Drosophila melanogaster: one gene and its partners. The protein of the gene in region 1 interacts with the protein of each later gene in a pairwise test. Each region holds a gene or a part of one and is shown on either strand. Other genes may lie near its edges.

Region 1 (2,836 bases):
GATGCCAAAAGTACAGTTGTGCTCGCGCGAAAAAGTTGCAAAGTAGATTTGTAATTGCAGCGTAGGGGTTTAAAAAAGAGGTGTGTTTAAGCTCTTATGTGCTGATTACCAAATGTGAATCATACAGCCATTTATAGAGACTAGATATAAATCGTAGCTTATAATGACATACATATTATGATTTTTTATTAATACAAAGTTACTAATTTTAGATATCTGTACTTAAAAAGAGTTTATTCTATTCGGTTGTTTTGGATTAAGACTTGGGGCTTTTTTTCGCTCAATTGCTTTCACTGAAATGGGAGCCCTTTGTCTGCGATTTTTCTCATGCATCCTGTAGCCCGAATCCTTTATCCTTCAGTCGAGCTCTAGTCCTAGTCCTAGACCTAGACCTGGGGTCCAAAACAAAGCTAAGTCGCACACAAAGCCAATTGGCCGGCTTCTAACTCACTCTTTCTATTTTCCCCGCCGGTTGTTGGGTAAAAGATGTTAGCTAAAAGGGAACAAAACGAAGCCACGCACTTGTAGTTACAAAGCGGATACTCATTTAAGTTGATTCACCGCACCAACAACTGTACAAAGGACGCGAGGACGCGACGTCAGCCAATGACACTTTATGACAATTGCACTTGGCGGCTGCTCCTGATGAAGGGGGCCCAGAGCAATACTGGGCGGTATATATACATATGTATGTGTATATATCCCGGACGGAGGTCCTGCAAAACAGGGTCGGCTTTCTCCTGGGCCAGCCGAACAAGCGAACAAAGCAGCCAACGAGGACACAACAAGAACAAACAAGTGAAAATCATTCAGGGAAAACTGCCGTCTACCAACTCCATCTCGAAAGGAAATCCGCGTACGCTGGGGAGCGCAGAGAACTCTACGCCAAATAAAACAAATAAGAAAGTTATCGTATTGATGTTTGGACTAAACGATACCTAGTGCTTGGAACGAAGAGTTTCGGCTAAATTAGTTATACAGTAAAACATCTCAGCAAATATGCTGTGTACGATTTTGTCACAAACTTAAAACTGTTATGATTACCGGCGGCTTCTTTTCGCTCAATACTGCCCTTTATATTTTACTGTATAGCAACCAATAACTCAAATTACACCGATCCCCCTTCAATGCACTCCTGAGCTGCACAGATGCTACGTAAAAGCACAAAAACAAAAAGTAATCGTAAACAAAATGCCGGAAAAGGCAAAAAACATGGCGACAAAGACGGTGGCGACTATGGCGATGACTATGACTCCAAACCACGTGCTCCATATGCTGAACATGAGGCGAATGCGAATGCGAATGCGAAGGGGATCCTGGGTATACATACATATATGTATATATGGCCGAGATCGTGGGCACGAGTGGTGGAGATGCGGAGATGTGGAGATGAGAGCGGCCCGACGTCGCCGTGATAATGACTTTTTGTCTCTGCTCGAATGTCACTTGATGTTTGTGGGCCCTTCGCTTCCTGGCTACACTCGGAAAATTGTTGCACCCAAAGATGCAATAGAAATATACATGTATTTTTGCAACGCAAAATCTAAAAGTTACAAAATAAGAGGCGCACTTTAACTTGCAAATCAAGATACTTTAGTGGGTATTTTAATTTATTGAAGACACTATCAACTCGATCAGCCTTTCTTTAGTTGCTGTGTTTCCTGCTCTTTGTTGCTTTTCTGGCTGTTGCCTTTGTTGTTGCAGTTTTCGTTTTTATGCCTCGAGGTCATTCAAGTTCAACCCGCCACAGTCGCCATCTGATTAATTGGCCATGCTGTTGAAGCACACCGGCAAGAAGGCCAAAAAGCAAGGATCGAAGCAGGCTGAAAATTCATGTAGTTGGCATTGCCTTTTACTGTCACAAATAGCTGGGACTTTCGTTCCCCTACCTAGCTAATAACGATATAGGCCAGCCGTTGAGTCAGTAACAAAATTTTTCTATACTTTTACATTTGGTTTCCCAAAAAAAAAAAAAAAATCACAAAAAAAAACGACAAAAAAATTAAACATGGCCGACATCTTCACGACACTGCCGAAACGTCGGTTGGTACCCAACCTACTTAAGTCCATTATAATGGTCCTGGAGCATACTAGCCGACCCATGACTGACACAGAGCTGAACATCTTCCTGGGCAGCCAGTACCAACGTAACGATCCGGAATTCTTTGCCCAAGTGCAAATCAATCTGCACGATGGCATCGAAAGCGCCATTCTGAGGCGCCAGGGAAACCAGATTTCGCTGCTCGCTTGGATCCTCACCAAACCGATGAACCTTTGAAAACCGCCAAACCCACACTTCAGATAAGAAGAATAATCCTTAACAGAACAGTGTATCCTTTTGTTTTATTTGGTTATTATTTGGTAGGGAAGTTAACAAATTATCATGTTCCATGGGGCTTTTTGTACTGTGCAACGGCGGCTAAAGCGTTTGGACACATATATACATCTCGGTCTTAAAGTATGCACTTTAATTATATACGTAAAGAGGGCCTTGCCAATTGTTGAACATCCGGGTAATCGACGCAGTAGCAGCTGTAACAGGGTCGCAATCCGTATCCTGCAAAGTCAGATATTAGTCGAAACTGTGCTTTACCAACGTTAAACGTTACATTTGGCACCGAATCCCACGCCCGATTGGCCTTCTGGTGGCAGACGCGTTTTGTGGCAAATATTTGTGAATGTTTGCATTGAATCGCCAAATATGCAATTATATCATAAATTAAGCGGTGAAAATCAAACATTCTACGGAGTGATGATAATGTGAAAATTTCGAGGATCGAAGCAGTCAGGAAATTCATGTAGTTGGCTTGCCTTTTTGCTGTCACACGTATCTGGG
Region 2 (3,995 bases), on another chromosome or scaffold:
AGACATGAAAATTTGGCTTTTCCCTCCATCGCTGTATGTGTGTGTGTGTGTGTGTGTGTGCGTGTTGGGTAAACATTCTGCCAGGCGTTTTCATTCTCTCTTGGATTTTCGCAATCGCAGGGAAGCCACACATTTCGCCCTCTGACCCCATAGAAAAAACCGCGTTGACAATGTCTTAGGCGAAATTTATCGCAGTTCAATAGAAAAATATTTAATAAAATTGGTTAGCCTTGCTGAATAAAGGAAATAATCATTTCTTTACTCTAGAATATATAAGAAATTCCAGAAAATTTCTGTGTGTTGTCAAGTGCCAAGTAAACACGATTTAATTGCGAGTAAACATTTGCCTTTTCTCTTATGGAAATATTAATTTGCATACATGGGTACTTATGCATGCTTAGTGATTTTCATGCCACAAAAGCTTGCAAACAACAAATGAGCTCAAGCAAACATAACTTTTTAGCATGTGACAGTTTTAAAAAATAATGAGAAAACAGGATACATATATACACGTTAGTAGTAGTAGAAGGTTGGAATATATTCGTATTTCTACATATAAATTGTACAATGTAGAAATATACAGAGATCCGGTTTGGGACACTACTTTCCCTTCTTGCCCTTGCCCTTTCCCTGGCGCTTCCTCTTGCGCTGATCCTTCTTCCACTTGCGCCAGTATTTTTGAATCTTGCCCGCCGCCCGGTTCATCATGAAGATGACCAGCTTCTCCTGCTGCACGCGACGTTCCTCCTCCTCTCGCTTGACCACGATGTTCTTGTAGATGCGCTCCTCCTGCCTGTACTGGACCATAAAATCGTCGAGGACCTTCTTGGCAGCCAGATACTGATCCTCCGCCACCAAATTCTCACGCATCTTTTCGCCCAGGCTGGTATCGTACTTCTTAAGCATACTCTGCAGTTGCAGGAGCAATTTGTTTCTATAAAGGATTGAGAGCACTTAAATAATAAATTACTCGATTTGTAGCTTACTTTTCGCTTCGCAGCTCGTGCTCTTCGGCCAGATGCTTCTTGGTCATCTTCTCGTAGCTCTCCCGGGCATTCTGCAGCTCCTCCTCCAATTCCTTCTGCCTGTCCATGCTGCTCTTGTGGTAGCTTCGCATCGTGCGATGGCACTTTTCACTGTAATTTGTAAATATATTCAAATAAGAATTTCTAGAACTAGAAATCCGAGTTACATTTCGTTCTGAATGGCCACGTTGTTCTGCCACTTCTTATTGGCCAGATCCTCCTCGACCTTCATCAGATAGATGCCCTTGGCGGCCGTCTTCCATTTGCCAATCACCTTCTGGAAGGCCAGGCTCGCCTTCAGTTCCTTGATTTTCTTCTTGATGTCCACATTCTGATGAAAGATGGCATGGAGCTTTCGCTCCTTGGTAATCTCGCTACGCGAGGATCGGTGCAGATGGACGTGGGCGCTCTCCAGGAGAAAGTGAAAGGCGGCCAGCAATTGGCGATCCCTTTCGTTTAGGTTCTTCTTCAAGTGCGGAAAGAATCGATGAATGCTATGGTTGACCAGGAAGAAGTCCACGATTCGCATGGTGGTGTGGTCATGTGGCAGCTTGGAACGTCCACTCTGCTTGCCAAGGTGGCGGATCATGTCATCGATGGGCTCGAGAACCTCCTCATAGCAGGTGTCCTTCAGGACGCTCTTCAACTTCTCGGGATTCTCCAGCAGCTTCGGTATGATCATCGCTATCTTGATGCGCTCCTGGGACATCTTGAGCACACGTTCCACTCCTTCCAGTCTCACCTGACGTTCGGCGGTGGTATCTGGAAGGAAAAAGGATATGACTGGTTTTGTCTTAAAACATTCATTTTATACTAACCCATTTTTACTTAGCAGCTTTACGGATCCTGGCGCATATATAAAATCCTCATTGAAAGATTTTCGTTTACACAGACATTAATAACTTTACAAAATTTCCTTTTTGCGATATAATTGTGTGCCGGGTTCTTTTAAAATGTATTAATTTAAACGACTCTCGGATACAACAGGAATTTTCTATTTATTATTAACGAAATCACGAAGTTAAAGCAGATAGGTGCAATTAATCTGCCGCAACCTGGAAAGTGAAGCTTTTTTTTCCATTAAATGTTCTTGAGCGTATTTCACTTGTTTGAATATTCTTAACTTCTATGCTTCTTTTGTTTTTTCTATAATTTATGTTTTTCCGATTTTCTGGCTATGCTTGTGTCGAGGTCTTTTTGAATTCTGAGCCGAGTTTGTTATTGTTTTTGGGGATAAACAAACATGGCTTGCTATGTTGACCGTGTTGCCTGGTTGCAAAGCCAAAGAATATATACCAAATAGAAACCCTTTCGATCAAGGAGCAACTGAAGAAGGGGGCGTGGCGAGGGGCGGTAAATTTGAATGGCACTTTCATGGCAATGACTGGTAGAAACTTTTGCCAAGTGCAGTAGTCGACAATGAAGAGTGTGGGGCGGTTTTCTAGGGGGCGGTGGGCGCTCGCCTTCGGTGGGTGGCTTGTTGCTTGTGTGTGGCCATGTCGCATTATGTCAACTGACGTGGCATGAATGAAAGCTGCTGCAGCAAAGCAAACGAGGGAAAATGCGCTGCAGAGGGGCTTGCTGGGAAAAAAGAAAACCATAAGAGCATGAAACGAACTTGTGAATGCAGAACAATGTTGGTGGGTGGGGTTGGTGGTGGTGGTGAAATGTTCCTCACTCAGGTGGAAAATCTACCTAATGAAACTGGCATGAAAGGGGGAGCCACAGAGTGAATGTAATCTGGGAGCCCTTCGCTGCAATCTGCCAAAAATCGGATTCACTAGTACAGTGGAGTCTCAGCACATCCTACCTAATTTAATTTTAAATAAATTTTAGTTACTTAGACGAAGTAATAATATAATAAGGGTCAGTACTTTTTCTTAAAATGAATAAATATATAATATGTTATAACTAAAGGCAGTAGTAATTGCATAAATGAGCTAGCAAATAAAATGCTGCAATGCGAACCAACTAAAAAAAGGAAGGGCAAGATGAAAGGGAAGAAAAATAAAATTGAGCAAGACATAATATTTGTTGTTGCCTTTGCAAAAAGAGAGATGTGTGAGAAAAAGCCAAAAGAAATGACGCATAAACAAGCAGAGAGAGCAAGAAGAGAGAATGTGCTTTCAAAGTGTGCAGCAAAACGTGTAAAGTAAAAAGGGACATAACAAGAGAGAGAGAGAGATTCAGAAAGAGAGAGCGAGCGCCTCAAGTTATGCATCGAAATTTGAAATTCAGGAGTAACGGGAGAGCGCCCTACAGTATGCAGCCAAATAAGGCAAGTCTGCAGAGAGAACGAGAGTCTTGCGCACACGTATACGTAACAAATGGCCATGCAAAGCACGAACGCAGAAAAACGCTAACGGTACTGCAAAGGAGGTGCAGGGCAAAAGCAAAAATCCAAAGCCAAAATGGTTCGCTCTCCTGCTGGTGGCCCACATTCGCTCAGCTGAGCTCGGCTTTACCGTTAACCGATTAGAGACTTACCGCTTACCATTTACCGTTTCGGGCCGTCTGGCCCTGGCTCATTATGTCCCGTTGCCTTGGCAGTATTGTTGTATATTTTTATAGTCGTCCTCACTCGACAGTTTCCTTTTGAGTTCTATTTCTCCATTTCCATCCCCTCTGCACATCTGCTCTCACATAGATTTCACAGAAATGTGGGCCCGTTATGCTCGGCCTGGCCGCATTGCAGCTATAAATTTGTTTGTGGTTCACATTTGCCTTGGAAGATTACTTTTGGCCATAGTCGTCGCGCAGAAGTGGGCGACAGAGAGGGAGAGGCGAGAACAGCGGAGATACCGCGGAACAATGGACTCAAGGAAAGGGAAACGAGAAACAAGAAACGACTAACTAACTGTGCTTAATGGTGGGTGGTGGTTCGTGGCTAGGGAATGGTGGGGATGGGGAATGGAATGGAATGGGGTGGAAACCCCATAAAGAACCTTTTTGAGAAAGTGTTATTATAAT
Region 3 (4,826 bases), on another chromosome or scaffold:
CAGCTTCCTGCCCATTTTCAACCGGGAGACGGCCCTTCTGCTCGATCAACTCGAACCACTGCAGGATGACGGCGAGAAGGATCTCATTCCACTGCTGCAGAGCTTCACCCTGGGAATTGCCACCCGTGAGTAAAGAAGAATGTGTTGTTTGTTTAAAAAAAGACTCATAAATTATGGCTATCACGTTTGTTGTTTGCATACAAAGTGGTCGAAAGCCAGAATGCATAATTCAGTTAGAAGAGTCGATCTGATATTAAATATATGATATACTTATATGAAAGCAGAAACCACCATGGGCAGCGATGTAAAGGATGAAGAGAGCTTCAGGAGCAATTCCTTGCTGGGGCGATACCAATGGTGAGTTTTGACTTGGAATCGGAATGCATCTATCCATTAATAGCATCCTGGAAACCATGACAGATATGTGCTTCTCTCCGTGGCTCAATAGCCGATTTTGCCGGCAGCTGGCTGGAAAGGAATCGCACTACTACCAGGCCAAAACTGAGATTCGTCAGTTTATTCGGAAGGTGAGCACCTCCAACTACTCCCTCCGCTTATTCACTTACGAATCTCTTAACCCCTTTAGATAATTGAGAGAAAGTTGGCCGAGGACGAAATGGGAGCACTACCTTCCATCCAGTCCAATGATAAAAACCTATTTCTAAATCTGGTCACGGATTTGATGAGACGAGGAGTGTTTACCCTGAAGAATGTTGAGGATGAGTCGAATATCATCGTTTTTGGAGCTTTTGAGACCACGGCTAATGCAGTGTACTACACCCTGATGTTGCTGGCGATGTTTCCGGAATACCAGGAGAGGGCCTTTGAGGAAATAAAGACGATATTCCCAAACACAGGAGACTTTGATGTATCCTACGCGGACACCCAGCAGATGGTGTACCTTGACCTGATCCTCAACGAATCCATGAGAGTAATACCCCCTGTTCCTGTCGTATCCCGACAAACGTCTCAGGATCTGAAGCTGTCCAATGGTATAGTGGTTCCCAAAGGGGTCCAGATCGCCATCGACATTTATCACATGCACAGAAGCAAAAAGATCTGGGGTCCGGATGCGGAGACCTTCAACCCAGATCATTTCCTCCCCCACAACATCCAGGACAAGCATCCGTACGCCTATATACCTTTTACCAAGGGCATTCGAAATTGCATAGGTAACAGAGTGATCGCTAATTTATGACCATTGTTTTAGCTATATTCTTATTATTTCCTTCTGTTTAGGTTGGAGATATGCCTTAATATCGGCGAAAGTTACATTAGCCAAGTTATTGCGGAATTATAGGTTTAAAACGAGTTTTCCCTTCGAAAATCTATACTTTGTTGAAGATATTACGATGAAGTTGAAATCTGTGCCACTGTTGGAGCTCCAAAAGAGAACTTAAATGTTTATAGCACTTAGTGATTTTAAATAGATTATTAAAAGTTGTTGAATTAATGGGTTCTGTGAATTATACCAATATTAAAAAATAATAACATCTACCTTTTATAATCTTTTATTAACTATTAATCAATTATTCCATTTTTTAAATTTATAGCATGATTTATGCTAACGTCTTTCGTTGAAAAGTTTAAGCAGCAATAATTATTAGTACATTTTCCGAAAATGTTGGTGTTAGCGTTTTTTTAACAAATTTCTTGTTTCATGAATTCGAATTAAAAAAATACTAAAAAAAAATACTTTGCGGATTTCCGAAGACTACTATCACACTAGCATTGACTTACAAGCCGGGCAACGAATTGAAGCATAAACAAACGATGTCGCTCACCGATGTCTTGGAATTGAACAAAACGGAGTTGTTCGCGAAGATTCGCAATGGGTTGCCCGTGGTGCAAAGGACTCAGAACCTGCTGGACTGCAAGGACGATCTGCTCTTTGCCTGGCACGCGAAGGACAGCTGTCTGTTGGTTCGCAACTGGCGCTCATCGCTGGCGGCAAAGGTGAATATCCAGTTCCAGACACTGATTCCATCGAGCTTGGTGAGCCTGGAGGTGGACCGCGTGCTGGCCTCCAACGAGGGCTCCCTCGTGGCACTAAGTGGACCGCGCGGCGTTGTCATAATGGAGCTGCCCCGCCGCTGGGGCCCCGATGGATACTACAAGGATGGCAAGCCAGTGATCACCTGCCGCACGTTCGGCCTGGACACTCAGCTTTTCCTAAAAAACCCGCACTTGGAAGTGCGCCAGGTCCGCTGGCATCCGCACTCCGTGTCAGACTCCACGCTGCTCGTGCTGCTCAACAACAACACGATTCGAGTGTACAATCACTCCAAGTTGCGCCACGTGTGGCAGGTGGGTCCCCCGGTGCTTCGAAGTGGGGCCAATAACTCGCTATGCGACTTTGGCGAGCTAGCCGTTGACTTTGACATCGCTCCTGCTGCAAAACCACGTGTCACTGAACCAGAAACAGCCGGCAATAACGAAACCACTTTGGATAAGAGCAACAAAACCCTTGTGGCGGCCAAATCGCTGCCGAAACAGGAGAGGATAGAGTGGCCCATGGTTGTGCTCCGCGAGAATGGAAACATCTACATTTTGATGACCGGCGTGGATTCGGAGAATACGCGCCTGCAGGGCCCCGTTACCATAACGCCACAGGCACATGACAATTATGGACTGGAGTCCTGTGCCCTAATGATTATCCCATCACTTCCGCCGACCATTGTTATAGCTGAATCCAATGGAAAGCTTCACCATGCTCTGCTTATGGAGGCGGAGGCCACTGAGCATTCTTTCAATGAGGTTGACGACTCTGTGTTGATTGAACCCGCCGAATACGTTGTACATGTACTAGAAACTGTCGAACTTGAGCTGGGAATATCTGCACCCGCAACTGGAAAAGAAGGAGGCAACTGTCCCATATACTTAAAGCGGGATTTGATCAATGAGCTTCGCTACTTTGCCTACCACAACGCAGGACTTCATGCCGTTACGGTCAGCTTTATCGCAGAGCTGCAACGTTACTTGGAAAGCGAGTCCGATGAAGATCGTCTAGAGCTGGCGGTCTCTGCAAGTGCAGAGTACATTCTGTGCACAAAATTCGATTCCAGTGAGACGGTGAACGCAGTCTTTGGACTTGCCCTATTACAAATTCCTGCCGGTATAGTTCTACTGCTGGGCAGCGGTCAGGTGATTAGCCTTAAGCTGGTAATTGATGCCCAGCTGTTGGTTACACCTAATGAGAATAAGCCAGTTGACTCGGAAGTGTCTCAGCAGGAAAGTGGGCCACCGTTTGTCGATACGATTAAATCGCTTTTGCAACGTAGTGTTAACCAGCCCATCTTGGCGGATAAACTTTCCTCGCCATCCGCCCAGGAGAGCTTCGAACTGCTTAACCAGGCAATCGAGGTGCTTCGTGAGCAGTACCTTAAACGACATGACCTTGTGCGCGCCGCATTTACACGCCACATCAACCAGATCCAGCTGAAGAAGGAACAACAGCTGCAGGAGATCCAAGACCTGGAGCAGGAACGCGAACTGATCAGCGAGCGGGCCCACAAGCTTGCCGAGCGCTTCGAGGAGATTAGCTACAACCAGGAGCTGCTCGTCCGCAAGTGCAACGCTCTGATGCAGAGGGCCAATGCCTCACTACCCAATAGTGTGATTGCGGAACGGGAGTTTTCGCAGGAGGTGATTCGACTTAATAAGGTCACCCAGAGCCTGGCCGCTGGACTGGAGACTGCTAAGAAGACGTTTAACAAGCAGCGCTACCACATTGCCCAGAGTCAAGAGGACCTCAAGAAGAACGCGTACGAGCTGCCGGAGAAACAGCACCGCACTATCACCGAGATACTTACCCAGCTAACCGGGGAGATCGATCGCCAGATCACCGACGTCAAGCGCATTAATAAAATCGTTGGCATCTAAATTCGGATTGGGAAGCACGCTCTTAAGATTTCACCACGTTTTCGTGATAGTAAAGCCGTTGCGTAGAACTAAAACGTATTTTTAATAAACATGTCAATTAAGTCCTATTTTCGTTAGCTGGCTTCTGTTTTTTGTATTCGATGACACTTTAATGAGCATACGTCAGCGTTTTCTGCTAGACGATCCTTCATGAAGACACAAAAACATTTGATACCCATGGGTATTGTGCTACAAAGTCTACTACAGTAAAATCTATTCTTGACGTACTGTCCCATTTTCCGGATTATAGTTCAAAAAGTAAAATAATAGTAATAAAATAATAATAAGAATAAAATAATGAATAATAATAGTAGACTTCATACATCATAATTCGGAAATACAAAGTATTGTAGTACTGCTGTAACATAGTTTTCCAACTTTCAGCTCCACTGTTATTAGAATACCACAAATTTTTCTAGTATTTGGTTTTTAAAGTATCGCATTTCGATCGTTACTCATTTTCTCTGCAAAGCAGAACCCATTGAAAACGTAATGGAAAAGCATTTGCAAGGCTAATGACACTCGCCCCAAGAATTGAGGGTTTCGATAGCTATTGCGTTTTAGTGACAGTCTAAAGCGAAGTTCGGCGGACGAGAGATGACGTTGATACTACTGGCTGCCCTGTCGAACATCTACACCGGGATGTTCAACTACGTGAAGGCCAAATTCCCGTTCGTGATCGAGGCCGCCATGGTGACCCTGTGCTTTGGCTCCATCGTGGGTCGATTCTGCATAATGGTTTAGAAGAAAACTGAGGAGACTCGAGACTGTGCGAATCGAAGGAACTTTATGTATATTTATATGGATGTGTCTTGTGGCCTTATGTGAATACAACTAAAAACTTAAATCTAAACCTGTGGCTTTTCGATCAGGTGAATGTAGAAGGCGGGGTTCTTCACCTGGCT
Region 4 (3,015 bases), about 13 Mb from region 1:
AAACTTTCGTCTACCTGTTTCATACTTTCTAACGAAACTAGTATACCCCCTTTCTCAAAGACTAAGGGGTATCAAAATTAAACACAAAACAAGCGGTGCTATTACATTGGTAATTTGTGAGCCCGACTGGTGGTGTTGCTGCTGCTGTTCGTTGATGTTGCCGGCACGCAACCCGCCAGAAACTAGCAACTATTAACCAGCAACTAGCAACCAGCAACATGGAATAAACAGCGGCAATCAGAAGCGCCAATAGCCCAAATGCGAGTGCTTCCAGTTGGCCATTTGGATGGTGGATTCACAGATTAATACTGCCCAATTATTCACACTGGCCGACTTCGAAGAAATGCCGAGCTACACCCAAAGAAAATACCCAATAAATGTCAATCCTAATGGGATAGTATAATATACCATAGAAGCAACTAACCATTTAAAAAATTAATTTTTTAATTATTGTGATAAAATAAATATTTATCAGTTGTTTCATTTAATATTTATAGTTTTCAAAATATAATATTCTCTCTACTTCCTGGGCTTTTTTCAGCTTATATTCTCAGATGTCTTTCGATAAAGTTTTGTTACTAGTATTATTTGTTGATTGATATTTTCTTGACTTTTTTTACTGATTCATATATTATTATTCATTTAATGAGAGCAGCCGAACTTCGCTACAAACCGATTTTCTTAGTTTTTGGAAATTTATTCGCACATAGCGCGCTGAATTGACGGCAAATGTTTATATGTACATCGGTAACGGTTTTGTTTCGCTTTTCCACCTTTTGCAATCTTCCAGGCACTCGTGCTCCATATATGGAGTATATAGCACCCATATCTTGTTGGGAATGGGAATATTGGTGAGTATGTCAGACGCATGGAGCTGTGGGTTTTTTTAAAAACTACTGGCGATCGAGCGCGGACTTCTCGCTCTGCTGGCTTCTTGTGCTTTTAATTGCAGTAGAGAGACTCATGAAATCGAAATCAATTCAGATTGCTCTATATCCATTAGACTATAATTTGGAGTTAGTTTGAGTTATAGATTTATGTAAGACTCGCTGATGATAAGTTAAGAGAGAAATATATAAAATAAAAGACTTGATAAACGGATGCTGTTCTTAGAGAATATTTTTGGCAATGTATTTAAATCCTTTTCGTGATTTAATAAATTTGCGAAATATGTTTCAAATAAGTTTGTACTCTACATCTTTGACTATTTTATATTTATCAAATATAAAAGTACCTATCCAAACAGTTTCTCAATGAGTTAAGTGCACTTTTTGGCCACTTTGCACAATGGACACATCTCACTGCATTGTTTGGCCCGATAAATATACACCTTCAACTCACATACTCGTATATGTGAATGACTCTTTATATTTGCCATTCTACTTCCACTATTTGCTGTTGATAAACCCAATTAGTTGGCCTGTGCCAAAAATCTAGCGAGCTTCCGCCTTAAGTGCAAATAGGCGGAGGGTTAAGGCCCACAGGGATGCCACAGATGACGCAATATGGTCCATATACCGAGAACGGGCCTAATGGCCAAAAAGCCAAAAAATAATTGAGAAGACCAAAATTATTACGTATACGCACCATTGCAACAGGCTTTTCAATGGCCCCGCCACTTAGACGTCGACGTAATGCGGAGTAAGTGCAGCAAATTATCAGCTCCAGCCGAACGAGCGGCCAGCAGGCAGATGTCCGTTGCAACATTTTTTTTTTTCTGTGTTTTTCGCTTTTAGCCAAACAAAACAAAAGACTGTGTGCAAAAGTCGACGGAAAATGCAGGAAAATGCGGCATGTATTTGCGGTCGAATGTGAGTGCTCCGAGCATATAAAATCCAATGCAGTTGGTAGCAGTAAATTAGTTGACTCGAAACATTTCGCCGCGTCGGTTAAAACACTTCTACCACATCCAACCATGTTCACCTATCGCCTGAAACTGATGATCCTTCTGGGTCAGCTGCTGCTAGGCATCCAATGTTATCCTTTGGGGGATGATGTGTCCTCCAATGCAGTGGTCCATTCGGCGGGACTTTTGGGCCACTACGCCGGCGGTCTGACTGGCGGCGAGGCCTTGTCCAAGCTGGACTTCAGCTCATCTTCGCACGAATTCGGAGCCTCCGCGGAGGCGGATCACTTGGGCTCCCTCGGCGATCACCTGGGCGAGGAGAGCTTCCCGTCAGATTACGGCAGCAGCGATGCCGGCGAGGAGTACGCCGAGGCCAGCGAGTTGCACTCCCACTACGAGGACCACAAGGCTGTGCCCGGCATCGATCATGGCAAGGGCGCCTTCAGCTACAGCACCCTGTACGAGTTCAAGGATCGGGATGAGCACGAACTGCACCACATCCAGCACCAGGCACTCGAACAGCAGGTGGAGCACCAGGCGGAGCACGACCACCACCTGGCGGAGCACCACCAGCTGGAACATCTCTACTAAGACTGTGATAGTCGCACACAAGACCTATCAAAATGCTCAAAGATTATATTATTATAAAAGTGTTTTTTTTTTAACGATTATTAAAATAAATGTAAGTTAAATTGAATTGAAAAGCTCTCTTGGGGGCACAACCTATAAATAAATATGGTCAAGTATTTATGAAAATTTAAATAAGTTAAAAAGATGTCCTGGATTTTAATTAATTACAAAATCTGCATGTTTAAAAATGTTACATATTTAAAAATTGTGTTTTTGGCACACATATAAATATTGTCCATGCATTCGTCAACCTTAAAAACCAATATATTTTATAGCAATTTTATTGAATAATAAATTGAAAACAAACAAAAAAAAACTTAACTTAAAGTAATAAGACCGCCGAAAAGTAGTTATTTATGATAGTTTATAAATTGTTTCGCAATGAACCCATTTAGCGGCCGTGGGAGTGGACAACTTGATGCTGGGGCAATTTGAGTTGCGAAAAGTCCACATTATCATTGACCACGATGCGGGGTTCGTGGATCGAAGGTATCGAAGGTATCGATGGAATCGATGGAATCACTGAATGTGGCAAATGC

The links.
Region 2: the proteins of CG15578 (region 1) and CG13168 interact in a two-hybrid assay, tested with the Drosophila melanogaster proteins (one large-scale study listed by BioGRID).
Region 3: the proteins of CG15578 (region 1) and mbo interact in a two-hybrid assay, tested with the Drosophila melanogaster proteins (one large-scale study listed by BioGRID).
Region 4: the proteins of CG15578 (region 1) and CG12995 interact in a two-hybrid assay, tested with the Drosophila melanogaster proteins (one large-scale study listed by BioGRID).

What each region holds. Positions count from the first base shown.
Region 1 is NC_004354.4:4,277,035-4,279,870, reverse strand, and holds CG15578 (uncharacterized protein), read left to right. Parts: upstream 1-1,909; 5' UTR 1,910-2,008; coding exon 2,009-2,278; 3' UTR 2,279-2,324; downstream 2,325-2,836.
Region 2 is NT_033778.4:12,252,213-12,256,207, reverse strand, and holds CG13168 (uncharacterized protein), read right to left. Parts: upstream 2,217-3,995; 5' UTR 1,848-2,216; coding exon 1,844-1,847; intron 1,788-1,843; coding exon 1,193-1,787; intron 1,137-1,192; coding exon 987-1,136; intron 935-986; coding exon 601-934; 3' UTR 507-600; downstream 1-506.
Region 3 is NT_033777.3:12,675,949-12,680,774, reverse strand, and holds mbo (members only), read left to right. Parts: upstream 1-1,722; 5' UTR 1,723-1,773; coding exon 1,774-3,882; 3' UTR 3,883-4,288; downstream 4,289-4,826. Other genes in the region: Cyp313a4 (cytochrome P450 313a4), read left to right, coding at 1-125, 285-357, 401-527, 587-1,172, 1,240-1,400; CG43630 (uncharacterized protein), read left to right, coding at 4,519-4,665; Gnmt (glycine N-methyltransferase), read right to left, coding at 4,770-4,826.
Region 4 is NC_004354.4:17,208,862-17,211,876, reverse strand, and holds CG12995 (uncharacterized protein), read left to right. Parts: upstream 1-1,879; 5' UTR 1,880-1,915; coding exon 1,916-2,437; 3' UTR 2,438-2,509; downstream 2,510-3,015. Other genes in the region: CG32563 (uncharacterized protein), read right to left, coding at 2,868-3,015.